Linked DNA regions of Arabidopsis thaliana. The protein of the gene in region 1 interacts with the protein of each later gene in a biochemical or structural test. Each region holds a gene or a part of one and is shown on either strand. Other genes may lie near its edges. The genes, in order: PAP1, TT8 and ATMYC1.

Region 1 (5,730 bases):
ACCAAATCATATTCAGTGTTTTATAATCATTGGTTCACCATTTTATTTAGACAAAACATCGTCAAACCAGAATTTACTACATTTGATTTTTTTTGGTAGCTAGGCGTGGAAACCTATCACATAAATGTCTTGTTGAACCAACCAATACAATAAAAACATGATCGGTGATCTCTGGTAGCTCAACGACTATTATACAAAACATAATTACAACGACTAAATGAACATGTTATACACCTATACTCTACAATCCTCTCTGCACCGAGATTCAATAAACTAAATGTAGGTCACTATATATTAGCAAGCACTACTACTCGTTGAAAAAAAAAAAAACAAGAATGTCGAATTCTCCAATGTTATTTTTTTTTTTTCCTAATGATAAAGAGGAAAATCACCAATTATAGTCAATTATAGAACAATTGTTTCCTTTTCTTGTAAGAGAGAGGCTAGAGCAAACAGATTAATTCACCATATAGAAGATGAGACCAAAAAAAAAAAAAAAAGTCTACAAAGTCAAGGGCACTAAATCATAAAAAACCCAAAATCTCAGATCTATCAAGAAAACGACTATTCCAAAAATGGAAATTATAAGAACAAAATTCTTTGGACAGAGATCAAACAAGAAAGGAACGAGAAAAATGAACTTTAGGTACCTTAGATTATCCAAATTTGTAGCTGCAAAAGTTGTTCCTGTGTTCAAGAAAGAAAGACCTGTAAAATGATCTGGATGTGTTTGGTTATATATATAAGAAGACTTAAAAGATAATGACTTAATCTCGTAACGAGTCACACGGACGTGACGCTGAAACTCACACACGTTGGTGCCACGTCTTTGTCTTTCCTCTTTTGCTCTACTTTTTTCTCCTCATAGGTGATAGGTCCCATAAGCAATGAAATAAAAAAAATGGTAATTGACTTTTCTCCAAACATTTTCGAATCTGATTTTCTTTTTCAAGGTTTTATAACCTCTACATTCCAGAATATGACTAATGACATCATTATCCAATTATTTTTTATACTGTAAACTCATTATTATGAATATTCTTTATTTCAAAAAATTACCATTGATTTATAAGTTTATTAGTATAATATATAACATATGGAATAAAACTTTTATTTAAAAAAAAATATTTTTCCCCAAAAAAAGTAGGATTAATAACCTGATTAATAAATAAAAAGTGTTATATTTTTAAGCATTGTATGCATTTACTTTATCATAGTTGTCTTGTTTTTAAGAGTTAAAAAATAATGATGAACAATTTCACGGACAACGATTCCACGATAAAGCTTTCCCTGCAACACTCAGATTTTCTAAAGACGGTTTTGCATTGCGTTTTCTGGGATTCGAAACCCAAACATGATGTACAAGTATTAATGAACTCTTAGTTAACCATTAGATTAAAAATATTTTCACTATTAATTTTCTCTTAAAAATATTAATAATTTTTTGAAATCAAAAATTATAGTTATTTTATTTTAATAAACGAGAAACACTACAAAAAAAGTTAACTGCATTTAGATAATTTAATAAACTAAAATATCCACATAAAAATTTCAAATTTATCAAAAATAAAACATCAATTTGTTTTTTGTTTTAAATTAAAGATTTGCTATTGATTGCATAAGGAAGAAAACTTTACAAAGCCGAAAGGCCTAAGAGCCCAACACACACAAAAGAAGAACCATTTTGGATCAAGGGAACCGACCATGGGTATTAGAAGTAGTGGTATAAAGCCCATCATATCCCAACACATAACCCACGAATGTTTAATATTAAAAGTTTGTTGTTCGGCTCATGATTAGCGATGATCATACAGAAAGTTTGTATCTAATACGTGCCTTGAATTTTATGTGTACAACAAACAAATTAAATTATTCAAAACCATAAATTATAAAAAATAATTACAGAAATAAAACTATATTAAGAGCGAGCCTACCATCCGGTGTGCAACTTTCTAGTTTATATACAGTGGCGGATCAACGTTAATGAGGCAAATTGGTTCAAATTCATCTAAATAAGACTAGAGTTCACAGGTTCGATTCCTCCTTATAACAATTTGCTCCCACCAATTTTTTTTGCTGGGTCCGCCCCTGGTTATATATATACTTCTACACCAGGTTTGGGTTCGAGTCCACACATAATTAACGACACAATTATAGTGCACGATAGAATGAACTAAAACAGCTAGAGCGTAGAGGGCTCATTGTCTATAAAAATCCTTCGTTAACTTGCAAGAAACCAAGAGTAGAGGGCTCACACTTAAGTCTCCTACATGACGATTATATTTCGTCAAAAAGAAGCAATTAGTTAGCTTTACAGCATATCATTTCGCCTAGGTTTTCCATCGTACACGTAAATTTTCATGCAAGAAAGCAGAAATATACAAATACTAACTTTTAGATACTGAAAAATGAGATCAGATTCTAGTCAAATTTTGTTAAAAGTATTTATAAATTTAAATTGCAAGTCCTCAAAAAGTACGACTAAAAATGCTTTTCTTAGAAAATGATAATAAACCGGCGTTTTATATATAAGTGTTTCTTTTTCTCTTCTGTCCAGAAGTAAATCATTAAGAACCAATATGGCTTTTCTTAAACTAATCTCCGTGATAATCAAATCTTTGATCATTCTCCACACAATCCCATCAACAACATCGATCTCACTAGATGCACCAACAATGATTCTAATCGGCACTACTAACTATAGAGATAGTTGTCCCAAAAAAAAAAAAAAAAACTAACTAGAGAGATAAATCATATTCAATACATGTACTATTTCTACTATACTTAAGAAAATTTGTATACCACTATCTTAACTCTTAACACTGAACATACTATACACTATCTTAACTCCCAACTCTTGTAAAAGAATATCTAATTTTAAGAAAAGACTTCAAATGCTTGTTAAATTTCTAGTGAAGATGCACATTCTAAAAACTGGTAAAATGGTAAGAAAAAAATATATAAAAAAATAGCCTTATTAAAATTTATATCTCCTATTTCTCTATCCAAACTACACGGATGAAGCTTATTGTTATTCATCCACCCTTTTTCTCAATTCTGTCCTATTTCTTGTGCATGAAACTTCTCCATCTTGTAATCGGATAAATCATACCCAAATTTTTTCTTTCTGAAAACATATATACCCGAACATTAATTACTATCGTCCTTTCTCCTAATTTTGTTAAGAAACATGTTTGTTTGTTTTTAGTACTGAAAAAGGATGGAGATACTTGCTAGATCCTATGAACCTTTTCTCTCTAGGACAAATCAGTAACCAAACAATAACTTAGCAAATTAAGCACGACAGCTAATACATAAAATGTGGATATCAAACATGCACGTCACTTCCTTTTTTCCGTCACGTGTTTTTATAAATTTTCTCACATACTCACACTCTCTATAAGACCTCCAATCATTTGTGAAACCATACTATATATACCCTCTTCCTTGACCAATTTACTTATACCTTTTACAATTTGTTTATATATTTTACGTATCTATCTTTGTTCCATGGAGGGTTCGTCCAAAGGGCTGCGAAAAGGTGCTTGGACTACTGAAGAAGATAGTCTCTTGAGACAGTGCATTAATAAGTATGGAGAAGGCAAATGGCACCAAGTTCCTGTAAGAGCTGGTATGTTATTTACGAACACACACACACTAACCGACACACACACACACAAATATGAATATCTATAATCACTACCAATAGTCTTCGTTCTCTCTATTTTCTATTCAGAAAATTGATTAATACCCGGTATTAAAAAAAAAAAAAAAAATTTGTTTAAATGAGTACAAATCATTGTTACAACTTCTTTATGCTGTTTTTACATGCTATTAAAGGTTGTGCATGAAAATTTCTTTTGCTGTTCGTATTTGTTTTACACCTAAACGAAGATTTTTACTTAAAATTAAAGAAAAAAAATTATACTAATTTTAGTTACGTTGCGTATTGCTAGCTTCTCCTATAAAGTCGTTCAAATTTTTACACGCTTGTCTTCTTGTAAATGAATTCGTGGGAAAATTTTGTATGAACACGTGTTTCTGTGTTGGAACAGTTCTTTATTTTTATTGGTGTGCATAGATTCTTCCTGATAAAATATATAGAAGGAGACAAATAAAAAACAGTCTTAGTATGTAGGTATAATCAAAGAATCAATTATTGGTTTTGTAGGGCTAAACCGGTGCAGGAAAAGTTGTAGATTAAGATGGTTGAACTATTTGAAGCCAAGTATCAAGAGAGGAAAACTTAGCTCTGATGAAGTCGATCTTCTTCTTCGCCTTCATAGGCTTCTAGGGAATAGGTATTAATTGTTACCTCGATACTACTTAACTCGGAGAGTCGTCATAAGTTAATACTAATAACATATGTATATTTTCTTACAATTGTTAGGTGGTCTTTAATTGCTGGAAGATTACCTGGTCGGACCGCAAATGACGTCAAGAATTACTGGAACACTCATCTGAGTAAGAAACATGAACCGTGTTGTAAGATAAAGATGAAAAAGAGAGACATTACGCCCATTCCTACAACACCGGCACTAAAAAACAATGTTTATAAGCCTCGACCTCGATCCTTCACAGTTAACAACGACTGCAACCATCTCAATGCCCCACCAAAAGTTGACGTTAATCCTCCATGCCTTGGACTTAACATCAATAATGTTTGTGACAATAGTATCATATACAACAAAGATAAGAAGAAAGACCAACTAGTGAATAATTTGATTGATGGAGATAATATGTGGTTAGAGAAATTCCTAGAGGAAAGCCAAGAGGTAGATATTTTGGTTCCTGAAGCGACGACAACAGAAAAGGGGGACACCTTGGCTTTTGACGTTGATCAACTTTGGAGTCTTTTCGATGGAGAGACTGTGAAATTTGATTAGTGTTTCGAACATTTGTTTGCGTTTGTGTATAGGTTTGCTTTCACCTTTTAATTTGTGTGTTTTGATAAATAAGCTAATAGTTTTTAGCATTTTAATGAAATATTTCAAGTTTCCGTGTTTACATTTTGAAGAAAATAAAATATTAATATATTCTGAAGATTTTTGTTTTTTTTTGGTTATCTACATGACAACAGTAAAAATAGAAAAAAAATCTTATTTTTTGAAAAAGGTATGTATCCGGTGTTTAGAATACTTTCCGAAATCAAACCGCCTATATTTCTAATCACTATGTAAAATTGTAAACCAATTGGGTTAAAACTCAACTAACAAACTTTCTAAATAAATGTCATTTTTGTTTTCAAATATGATTGAACTCGGATTTAGGAGTTTTACCCTTCAGTACCAAACCTTCTCTACCGACCATGTATGGTTGGGCAAATGTCATGTTTTACAATGTTTAGATTACTAAACACTTTGGTTGAGAAGGCAATGCTTTATTTATATATTCTGAAGTCATGTTTTAGTGTTATTTTTATTTATTTTTAAATGCATAGATTGTTAACGTGCAGATTCTCATATGGGCTTAGTTTCTGGATTTTGATTATCAAAACCGTATTCCACTCTTAAATGATTACGACAAAAAAATCAATACTACTAACAAACCTATTTCCCAGTTATTAATTAGTCAATAACAATTGTCAAATTTAATAACGTACTTGCTAGTAATAAAGTTTTAACGACGATCATAGATAGGTTTTTGAAACCCATACTCGCAGAAGTTCTGATACAAAAATTTGTACTCCCTCTATTTCAAAATATTAAATGTTTTAGATAAAAGCACAAT
Region 2 (5,730 bases), on another chromosome or scaffold:
TAAACAAAAAACTAACTTGAATTTATTGTAGATGACGAGAAATTGTTATTACCATAAATAAATAATCATATTGGGTTAATAATTTATTATTAATTCCTATATTTTCCCTCAAAATCAGCTAACTAAATATATTTGTTTCCTTCACTATAAATCCTGCTTTTACGCTCACGATCTTTTTTTACAGTTTTGTATCCAAAAACGTTTTTAGAATATCTTCAAATTAGTTTTTGAAATCTCATAACTCTCATTCAATTCTTCATCTTCAACGACAAGTACTTTCTTATTTTTCTATCATTCTATCTTTCTCTTTTTCTTAACCATTGCTCAGTTTTTTTCTTTTCTTTTATTTTCAGAAATCTGCCATTGATCATTAGGACTGTTTGTTTTCCTACACAGTTTGGAGAAACACAAAGTAAAGGTACTCTATCACTTTCTTTTAAAAATACTTACAAATGGTTATTCTTATTCCGACCAAAACAATTCTGTAAATTTTCAAACAATTACTCTCTTTTTTATTTTGTACAGCAGAAACTCAAGTGTGATGAGGATTCAAGAGATATAAGTTATAACCAAAGTATGATTTTGATTCTGTAAATGGAAGAGAGATGGCATAGAAGAAGAAATGGTATTTTTCAAGAAGAACCAACAGTTAATGGAAGGAAGAAGCATGGAACAGAAGAAAGATGTGTTTAAACACGAAGAAACCAAAACCAAATTATGATTATTTTTTTGCTTATCTTATATAAAGATTTATTGTTCATGTAAAATATTTTATTAAATCTTGATAAAATTTTAGTAGATATTCCAACGAGTAATTATCCACAATGATCTGTTATTTAAAAAAAAAAAAGAAATAAATAAAATAATTATTTGAAATATTAATAACATTGTATTAATAATTATATATATATTAATTAAATCAGTTATTTAAACCGAAACAAATACTAACATCACTTAAATAAATTGATGTAAACATTACATCATTTTTAGTAACTGATACAATATTGATATCAATTATAATAATCGATGTAATTATTTTGATTATTTACATCAGTTACTAATTAACTGATGCAAATTATTTGCATCAACAATATTTAAGTCACTTATTTAAGTGATACAAAATTCTTTTACATCACTTTTAACTAATGCAAATATTTATAATAAATGATGTAAAACAACCTTTTTTTTGTAGTGCATCTCCTTAATTTAACATTACTAAACCTAAAGAAAGATAGGCTATATTCACTTTGTTATTTTGTTTATATATTTCATTAACAAGTAAATAAAAGAGAGAGTATATACAACGTTACCTTTTTCGTTGTGCCTAGTTCCACAACACCATCAAGCATTGGAATGCAAACCACTGTCTGCTTTTTTAAAATACATTTTCATCAGAATACAATTCTCAAATCTTACTAAAAAGAGCAAACTAATAAAGACAAATTTTACCTGAATTTTAGCACTCTAAGTCATTGAGGAACCGACGTAAAAGGCCCATAAAACGACAAGAAGAATTATTCAAGTTAATCAGTGAAAATGTATAAAAGTATAGATAAATAGGTTTACAAGTAGATAGATACATAGTATAGTGTATACATAAATAGGTAAAAATAGATGCATAGTATAGTTGGTGAATGAATAAAAGAATTTACCTTAGCGAGAATAGCTCTAGAAAAAGTTTTACTGTCAACTTCATTTGCACCACTTAGCCATACGTGCTTCCTCCTTGCATACGCTTTTCCTGGCATCCTACAAATTACTACCTCCCAAATTTATATTTGATTTTTTTTTACCACATAGAGAAAAGCATGAAGTATACCCATAACTAACCCATTTTGTTATGCATTTATGTTATATCTATTCATGCTTCTACTTTAGATAATCAATCACCAAACAATGAGAATCTCAACGGTCGCAATAATGTTCATGAAAATGTAGTGTGTGTACGTTTCATTAACTCTCATTTCTTTCTTATTCTAGTAACTCAACTTCCTCAGTTTCTCTTTAATGTCAACACAATATTTTCGATATTCGCATTTAACACACAATACTATTTTTGTCTTCACTTAGAGAAGGAAAAAAAAGAAAGAACAAATTTAGAAACTTGAGTATAGGGAGAGAGTTGTTTACCCAGATGGAGGAGGAAAAGAGAAAGAGACGCACATTAGATAAAACCATTCTGTCTCCGTCAAATCCTCCGGTGACAATGCGGTGCATGCTCTTGCTTCTGACGTTGACTCTCCGGCTAAAAGTGTCTCATAAAGCTCCCTGAGCTGTTGGCTCCTCTCTAACGCCGCCTCTTCTGCCGTCACCTCCGCTGGTTGAGTTGTCTTCCTCGTCTTTATTGCACCGTTGTAGTATCCATTCCCCCACACCAAGACCCTAAACAATGATACTTTCATATAAGTAGTTCAAAAATCTTAATAAATTTTGTAAAACCTTCAAAAAAAAAAAAAATTATTTCAAGATCGAATTGTAACACTACGACAAGCCAACAATTAGCCGAATTCATTTAAACATATAGTTTACATAATATATACGGATATAGATATTATGGTTGTATTGTGAGAGATGAATGAACTATAGAGATAAGAAACTAACCGTTGTTGAGGACAAAATTGCCAGAAGACACTATAAGTCCAGTCCACAGATTGAACCGCCGTCTTAAGCAGCCCTTGAAGCTCTTTTTTCTCAGCTCCGGCCACTTTCTCTGCCGGAATAATACTTGATTCATCCATCGTTCCCGGAGATACGAAAACGTGGTAGCTCTCTCTCTAAAAATCTTATAACTTTGAAGGGTTGTTATTAATATGTGAGAAGAATTTACTCTCATACGCTCATGATGACTTAAAATGGTATGGGACCACTGATTTTTGCAATATGCATGTATACGTATATCATCTTAGTGCTTTTGCAACATGTTGACATAAGTAAAGTATAATGCATGTAATGACTTCTATGTATATATGTATGTATATGAATGCATGACCAAAACTCAAGTGCATTAAAAGTTGACTTTTGATTTTTGAATGGTTGGTTCACCAGACGTTGGATGAGAAAGTGAAATAATGAAAGATCTATGTATCTTGTAGACGTGTCATATACTAATTGGACAAATCAAAATACAGAATGAATATATCTAATAATGCTATATTTATTTATTGTTCAGAAAGCATAACATATTATTGTAGATAAAATAGCTAACTGACAAACAAATGAAAACAAATGTTGCTTTGACTTGTGTTACTGCTACAAGGAGCAAAGAAATTGCGTTTTTCACATTTCTATTATTTATAAAATTGATATTAAAATTATATATTGATTAAAATGTTCATTAACAATTTTAAGAAGTTGGAATTATTGGATGAACATTCATATATATTTTCTTTAAAATGAAAAGATAAACTTAACCAAAGATGGGGAATGGTAGAATTGTTGACCTGACCGGTAAGTAAAGAATGAGAAATGGTTTGGTGTAATAAAGGAGAAGAATGAGATGTTTCACATTTGAGTTATTAAATTATTGATGTTAATTGCTAGCCAAGTAGCAGCCACTAGCCACTATAAGTTTCCCATTTAATAATGTCTTATAAAATATAAATGTAGATAGATACTGTTACGTACACATATCGTAGTACATACGATTTTGGGTATGGTTAAGGGTAATGTATGTACACCTGGTTACTTAGACAAAATCAACATTGAATGTTTCTTGGCTTTTTTGTCGACAAAATAAATGTTGCTTGGCTTTTGCTTCTGCTTCTGTGTTTCTTATTACATGTTGTTTCTTCTGAGTTTAGTCGTTCACCAATTATGTAACTCTGACGACGGGCCACGTGGAGTGGTTTCTTCTTATTGATTTTGCTTCTCCTTGTGTGCATCTTTGTGTTTATAAATAAAGGTGTTATGTAACTCATTTCTCATTGGAAATGATTCAAATAACAGAAAATAAACAATACTGTTCTAACACAGAAATGAGCGATTGGTTATTCACAATCACAAGGACAATGCTTTAGTACATAAACGAGAGGTTGGTTAGGCACAAATGTTAACTAAAACCCAAGTTCTTCCATTCCAGAAATGACAAATCATTCCTATTTATAATGCTTTGTTTTCAATGAAAATGACATTAGCCAAAAGTGTTTTGGCAAGAATTAGTTGTTGGAATACAATATATCTTTACAACGCACAACTGCATGAGCTTTGAAGGACCCCGGCCGGTTTATGATGAGAGTGAACTATTTGAAAAGTGGACCACATAATTGTAGAAAAATAATGGGTAATATAGTGTGATGCAAATTGGTGTGAAGTTTTTTGAGTTATTTTTTCTTTCTTTTTCTGAAATGTAATCATTCGTGTGAATGAGAGATTTCTTGTATTTTGTTCAATATATTAAGACCCGGTCCAAACCGGTCAGTTGGACCGTAATCCCATGATCCCGTTGGGGATCCATGGCTAAAATCGCCATGTATTGAACCCTGAAAAGTTCATCATTAACTTGTGATCTGACCGAATAACGATTTAAAAATCACTTACATCAATCTAGAGGATTTGATTTTATAACCTTTTACCACAGTTAGAGGAATTAGTTTGACATTTTCGGATAACAAATAGTATGGTTTTCTTTTTCCTAACCCTTTTTTGCTACCCAAAACCTAAGCTTTATAATCTTTCATAACATGCGTAAGATAGTAAAAATATCAAGCGGTAATGACTAATGAAAAGACAAAAGTCTAGTGTCTAGTGGTATATTTTAAATTCTATCAATAAAATTTTGTAATTTTTCTTTTAGTCGTGTGTATTGTAACATTGACTAAACTATGTGATTTATGATTCTTCAGATCTTGAGGAAGAAATTACATTATCTACAAAAAAAGGGTGTAAGTGATGGAGATAGACAAAATTTATTGCTGTGATGCTTTATTAGCTCATCTAATATGAAATTGACGATTTACTATTCTTTTAGTGTTTGGTTTTTGGTTTAATTAGTTTCTTTGAATGTAGCAAGTTAAGACTTATCTCACCAAATATATATATATATATATATATATATATATATATATATATTTTTTTTTTTTGTTAAATCTCACCAAATATTTATAAACTCAAATCTCTTGTGGAGGAAAATCTTTCATTCTGCTTGGCAATGATGCAAAATATCTGGCACCATGAGTCCATGATCCTAAGGTGGATATAATGGTATGATTTGTCCTTTGGAAATGAAGTGTTACTAGATCATAACCCGTGCTATACAGCACGAGCATTAATATTTTGTATAAATTAAATTGTATACTTTGTTTCAATTACATAAGAAATAGTATAGTATAAAAGCGATGTCATAATATTTTTCAATGTTTTTACTATTAGCATATAATGCTGCATTGGATTGACTTTGTTTAAAAATGTTATTTTTATAATAAATATAACATATATAGTTTTAAGTAAATGTGTAAAATTTGTATACAAGTTGTTTTGGTAAGAAACATGTTTCCTTTGTATTAGTGGATCTAATTTTTGGCCTAACTTAGAATTAGTCTTTGTATAGTATTTTGGTTATATTTGTGGACCTAATTGGAGCATATATTAGATTATCTTTGATAGGGCTGACAAAATACGGACCCGATAACCAACCCAATACCCGAACCAAAAAACCGGGTTAGGGCGGGTTAAAATTTTAGGAAATTTCCTTATTGGGTAGAGTTTTAGTAAACCCGTGGATATCCGATTGGT
Region 3 (5,730 bases), on another chromosome or scaffold:
GAACATTAAAACAAATCACCAATGACTCTTCTCAGCTCTCGCTTAATCATTCCTACGGACGCAACTGCAGCCCCGCGAAACTGCATGCATAAACCCAAAAACGTTACGTGTAAGTCAAGAAAACCCAAATCTGCCTTTTCCAAACATCAGTAAGATTAATTTACCTTGGCCTTGAGATTCAATGTGAGGAACTTATTGAGCGTGTGAGATCTAACAGAGAAAGCATCCATGTGAAGATTGCTCAGAGTTTCCATGATGTCCGCAACTATGTAGTCTCTGTAAGAACATCTTACTTCGATCACAACTTCTGTTTCTTTGAGTTTAACTCTCAAATGTGTCTTATCTCTGAAAACAGTGACTTGTTCGGTTTCTCCTGAATTGTCATCGATCTTCGTGCTATCATCGTAGTTCCCTGATGTCTCTTCGATCAACACAGAGTCGTTAAGGTTCTCTGTCGTCTTTCTTTGTCTTTCTACAAAATTAACTGATCCCATACAAGATTCTAGCTCTTCTACTCTTGCCTCCAGTTCTTGCAGGTACTTGATTGTGTTGTTTAGTATCGATTCTTTATCAACCTGCACAAAGATTCAAAACAGAGTGTTGGCTTCTGAAACACAGTCTTGTCTCTAAGGATTTAGAAAAAGAGTTATTACCTCGTTGACAGTGGGAACCATAGTTCTAAGGACACTGAACTTTTCGTTCTCTTTTCTTCTATCTGAAGGATCATCTTGATTCAGACCAGAGTTCTGACTTGGGAACATTCTCTTTGTGTGCATCAAAGGGACATCATGCAATATCTTCCGCAACACATTCTGTGACTTTTTTTTCTGAACAAAACCCGAGACTTGCTGCTCACATTGCTTCCACCGCAAGAAACTTGAGCCAGGTTCAGAAGTAACAATATTTGGCTGACGATGACGAATGTTCTTATCGTTCTTACCTGATCTATCTGCGGAGTAGTTGAGTACTGTTGAAATGGTTCTTTTGTAATGCAAGTCTTCATCAGAAATACCTAATGGAAGCTGATGCTTCTCTTCACTGATCTTAATCTCCATCTTCTTCTCGTCATCGTTGTCTTGGTGTGCAGATATTTCCATCAAGCAAGATTTGATGTTTCGAAGCAGGTTATGGTCTTCTGAAATCTTTCATTGATCATGAACAAAATTAAACAAAGTAAGGTATATTTAATTCTTGTGAAGCAAGCAACAAAAGTAAAACTTTATATATTAAGATGGAGAGTTACCAATTCAGTGACGCCCAGCTCAATGACTCCGCCCAAGTAAGGGAAACACACAACAGTCTGGAGATAACAACACAGATACATTCTATAAATCTTCTATCCAAATTGATATATAGATAACTAAACTTTCATTTCTAACAATAAGAGAACTAAACTTTTATTTCTAACAATCAGAATCCAGTTATAACAAACATTATAACGTACCTGAATTGATGCGCTCTAAAGGAGAGAAGCCATATGAACAGTAATGAAAAGCAAAGAAGATCAAAGGAGATTTTTAGTCAGATTCGATCTTGATATATCAAGATTCAAGAAGAGGAAATTAGAAGTTTCTGAGAACTTACTCTTGCTAACAAAGAACGAGAGAAGAGCTTGTTCTCCGCATATTGAGCGTTGCAGAGCCATATGGTCTCACCCGTCGCTGAAGCTCTTCCAGGCAAACTAAAGTATATACATAAACAACCAAAAAAGCCAAAATGACAATAATTAATGATCATAAAAGAGAAAAAAAAAACTTAATCTAGGATTACTTAAAATGCAAAAGGTGAAAGTGTAACAAAAAGGAACCCCAAAGGAATAATCACTCCACTATTTACCAAATGGTTTTGGTGGTACTAAACTCTTTACCCAAAGTGATGGATGTTTCATCTTAAAATGAAAGGACATTTCTCATTACTTCTTTATTGCAAATTGGTTTTTCTATATGAATAGTTCACAAGAGCTAATATATTTTAGTGTACAAATTCATAGGAGAAGAGAGAGAGAGAGTGAGAGAACAAACCATTGTGAAGGAGAGAAGACATAGGACATGGAGACTAAATAGTACCACTCTTCATCAGAGAGGTCATCTGGTGACAGCATCATACTTGTACTGTGACAATTATCATCATCATCATTGAGATTATCATGAGTAGTACTAACAGTAGTACCACTGTCTCCTTCAAGCATAGACAAATAAAGTTTCCGAAGCTCCTTGCTTTTTTGCAACCCATATTTATAATGAGATTCATAACTCTTCTTCCTCTTCTTCATATCTCCATTGTAACATCCTTCTCCCCACTCCAAAACCCTAAATTAGTAGAACATAGTACTCATAAGTAACCCAAGATTTAAAAGAAGAGAAAATGGAAATGCAAAGATGAGAACAACAAGATCTGATAATTTTGGTACATGATGAATATTAGATTATACTTACCCAGGTTGAGTAAGTGAAGACGACCAGAAGATTGCGTAGCTCCATTGAACACTTCTTACAGCTAAAGCAAGTTGTTTTCTTAATAAGCTGTTTTGTCTTTTACTTCTTCCTGCTGCAGCTTCTACACCATCAGCCATTGTCAAAGACATATCTAGATATCGTGAAGAACTGAATTTAAAAGTATGGAACCAAAGTGATTGATAAAGAGGAGACAACCAAAAGGCAAAATTTATTAAAGAAGGGTTTGGTATTGAAGCTTTATTTCCTTTTCTTTCTTTCTTTATTGCTTTCTCTTTCTCAGCTTGGTCCTGATGGAAAGTCTTAAAAGAGTGTCTTTAAAGTTGAGTACTGTGTCTGAATTATGAGAGAGAGTGGTTGACTTGGGTCATGATCTTGGTTTTTGGAGTGACTTATCTTTATACAATACATATGGTAATAGTGTTGGATTCTATTTGGTGAAAACCAAGGTAAAATATTCTCTAAATTAGTGATGATGCTGAAAAATATTGCAAAAAGAAAGATTCAATATAGTTTTTTTGTTTCCTCCTATTCATTTAGTCAAAAGCTTGGTTATTACTACTATACTAGGTGATTGGCCAACATCATGCATGGATATGAATCATAAATTTAAGACCGATCTTTTTAACTCTTTTGGATTTGTGTTGTCTTAAATCCACTATGATGTTAGAGTTTATCGTGACACTTTTTAAAGAATACAACTTGAGATAGTTTGACCATAATGATTAATGTTTTGATGATTTCATATTATAGGTTTGGTTTGGATAGTTAATATCCAACAAGAGACAATATAAATACATGTTGATATTACATTGTACTTATAACTAATTTAGATGAATACACTTATGAAATCAACAAAGTAGAGATTCTTAGATTCTTAGTTAAACTTGTGTTGGTTTATATAAACTTAGTTACTTTTTTTTTCGTGTTAAGACATGTCGGGGTCTTATTGTCTTACAATCATTATATATTTGTATCTATCTTGTTGTGTGGAAATGGAACGTATCGACCTACATTGTTTTTTTGTGTTTTGGTAAACGTATCAAGTATCAACATACTTTAACAACCAAAAAAATTGAACTCTTTGTCTGGCTCACATCAATGAAGATGATTAATTTTTTGTTACTCGATCTTAAATATATGACAAACAGAATGTAGTTATACGTAGTTGCAAGAAAATGGAATATACTATTTGGATAGTGAAGATTCTAGTTTCTATGATAGATATAAATGCGCATTTCACCCGAATAATTCCATGATACTCTAATAGATTATATATTAAACAAATACACACTACTGTTCAAGTTTGATAATCAATCGCGAGACATCGCATATACCGATCGTTATTTGTTTACCATCAAAGCACTATTTTGTCCGAAGTAAGTAAATATAGCAAGTGGCAGTAAAAAAATAGTAATAAAATTGAAGGCAAGATCAGGAGAGAGCTGGCTGAAATGAAGGCAAGAAACTCGTGAAAATAATAATTGATCCATCTCTATCCACGAAGCCCTACATAATTTAGTAACGCACCACTTGTGGTTGCATGCACATTTATTTCCATAACGACAAAACTTTGTGTTTAATTTTATAAATTATTTCTGTTGGCACAACACACTCATTATAGCCATATGTTTGTGTTTATATTTTCTATTTTCATAGAAACAATTAATTTAATTTTAGATGCCCTAGACATTTTTTAAATGTATATAATAATAAAATTATAGTATAAAAGTCTATATATTACCCTAAATTTTACAAAACATATACAATCCTAACCAATGGGATCCTATATCAAATTGCATTCAGGATGAAAAAGAAGCGACATGAACCACGACAAAGAGAAAAGTTAGATAAATTTAAAGTTGAGTGAGAACTTGAAGTCTTTAATTCTCATTATACAAGCAACAATTTTCTTTCTTCGGAGAGAAAGAAATGAGAGATTGCACAACACTTCAAGTTCTCTCCTAAGATTGTTTTGTGGCAGATTGACATAACCATCCGTGACAATATCGCAAAGGTTGTGGAAGATTGTTGTCCCAATGGTTCACCCAAACCTAGTTACTATAGTTGGGTCTTGACTTGTATTAGTTTCAGTTTTTTTTTTTTTTTTTTTTGTTGGGGTCCATATCTAGAAGCTGTCCCAAAGTAAATAACAATGTTTCTTTTGGTAATAGTAATTCACATTTTATCCTTAAAAAATCTTCAAAAAATGAATATGAAAGTTACGACTTACGAGAGAAATGCAATTGTAAAATAATGAAATTCAAATTTAAAGCTTCAATGATTTTGTTAAGACAGAGAGACGTAGCGCATTGATTACAGACGCGACACATCTGACATACAACATTTGCCACTACAATGCACGACTGTCTTCGGATTAATACATTAATGTTACATCGTTAGTATCAATCTTACAGATTATAAATAGCTTAGCCGATTGTTTAAGATAGTATTATTCTAAATTCATATACACTCGTGCAAGTACAACAACACACTAAAGTTATTAAATAATAAACACATTTGATGTAGATAAACTACTTTTTTTAGTGACGTGACTTTACAGGCCCAATAATATATTCTGAAAAGCCCATAGTAATATTCACAAAAGCCCCTTGATAAAGTTGCAACGCGCGTACTTATCTGACGTGTCAGGTCACGCCACGTGGATTAGAAAAAAAGTGGTAAAAGACAAAACCCTTTTGTACTCAACGGATCTGAGTGAATCCTGAAAACTTTTTTAGGATTTCAAAATTGATTTGAACCAACCAATGATTCTTGGATCCCATGAATAAGCCTTCACGTGGCTTTTGATTTCACATTCCACGAAAATCCAATTTTAACTGAATTTGAGATAATTTTGGTTTAGTGATGGCGATTAGGTTGAATCATAGTGTAATTCCAGTGAGCGTGAAGCTTGGAGCTCCGACGAGAGTATCGGCTCGGAGCTCGTTACCGTTCAGCGTTGGAGATTGGCGTGGTGTTTCTACATTTTCCGGTGCTAGGCCTTTGGTTCTCGCGAAGGTGAAACTGAGAGCAGAGAGTACTGAGGAAGATCGAGTTCCAATTGATGACGACGACGATTCTACTGATCAGCTCGTAAGTGTGGAATTTCATTTGGATGATTCACTCGTTTGTGACCAGAATCAATTTTACTCTTCGTTTTGTTAGGTTGATGAAGAAATTGTGCATTTCGAAGAGCGTGATTTTGCTGGCACAGCGTGTGTTCCTGTATATGTTATGCTACCAGTGAGTCTTCTTTTGATTTTATTTTTGTTGG

Evidence for each region.
Region 2: the proteins of PAP1 (region 1) and TT8 form a complex in vitro, tested with the Arabidopsis thaliana proteins (one study listed by BioGRID).
Region 3: the proteins of PAP1 (region 1) and ATMYC1 form a complex in vitro, tested with the Arabidopsis thaliana proteins (one study listed by BioGRID).

The regions. Positions count from the first base shown.
Region 1 is NC_003070.9:21,232,870-21,238,599, reverse strand, and holds PAP1 (production of anthocyanin pigment 1), read left to right. Parts: upstream 1-3,307; 5' UTR 3,308-3,510; coding exon 3,511-3,631; intron 3,632-4,171; coding exon 4,172-4,301; intron 4,302-4,390; coding exon 4,391-4,886; 3' UTR 4,887-5,045; downstream 5,046-5,730.
Region 2 is NC_003075.7:6,179,075-6,184,804, reverse strand, and holds the start of TT8 (basic helix-loop-helix (bHLH) DNA-binding superfamily protein), read right to left. Parts: upstream 2,925-5,730; 5' UTR 2,739-2,924; coding exon 2,602-2,738; intron 2,383-2,601; coding exon 2,131-2,382; intron 1,750-2,130; coding exon 1,653-1,749; intron 1,465-1,652; coding exon 1,450-1,464; intron 1,368-1,449; coding exon 1,311-1,367; intron 1-1,310. UniProt on the Arabidopsis thaliana protein: Transcription activator, when associated with MYB75/PAP1 or MYB90/PAP2. Involved in the control of flavonoid pigmentation. Plays a key role in regulating leucoanthocyanidin reductase (BANYULS) and dihydroflavonol-4-reductase (DFR).
Region 3 is NC_003075.7:217,101-222,830, forward strand, and holds the start of ATMYC1 (basic helix-loop-helix (bHLH) DNA-binding superfamily protein), read right to left. Parts: upstream 2,682-5,730; 5' UTR 2,585-2,681; coding exon 2,436-2,584; intron 2,310-2,435; coding exon 2,022-2,309; intron 1,682-2,021; coding exon 1,585-1,681; intron 1,460-1,584; coding exon 1,445-1,459; intron 1,301-1,444; coding exon 1,244-1,300; intron 1,143-1,243; coding exon 654-1,142; intron 576-653; coding exon 165-575; coding exon of another isoform or gene 156-164; exon of another isoform or gene 134-155; intron 81-133; coding exon 20-80; coding exon of another isoform or gene 6-19; exon of another isoform or gene 1-5. Other genes in the region: BAM2 (beta-amylase 2), read left to right, coding at 5,322-5,549, 5,622-5,699. UniProt on the Arabidopsis thaliana protein: Trancsription activator, when associated with MYB75/PAP1 or MYB90/PAP2.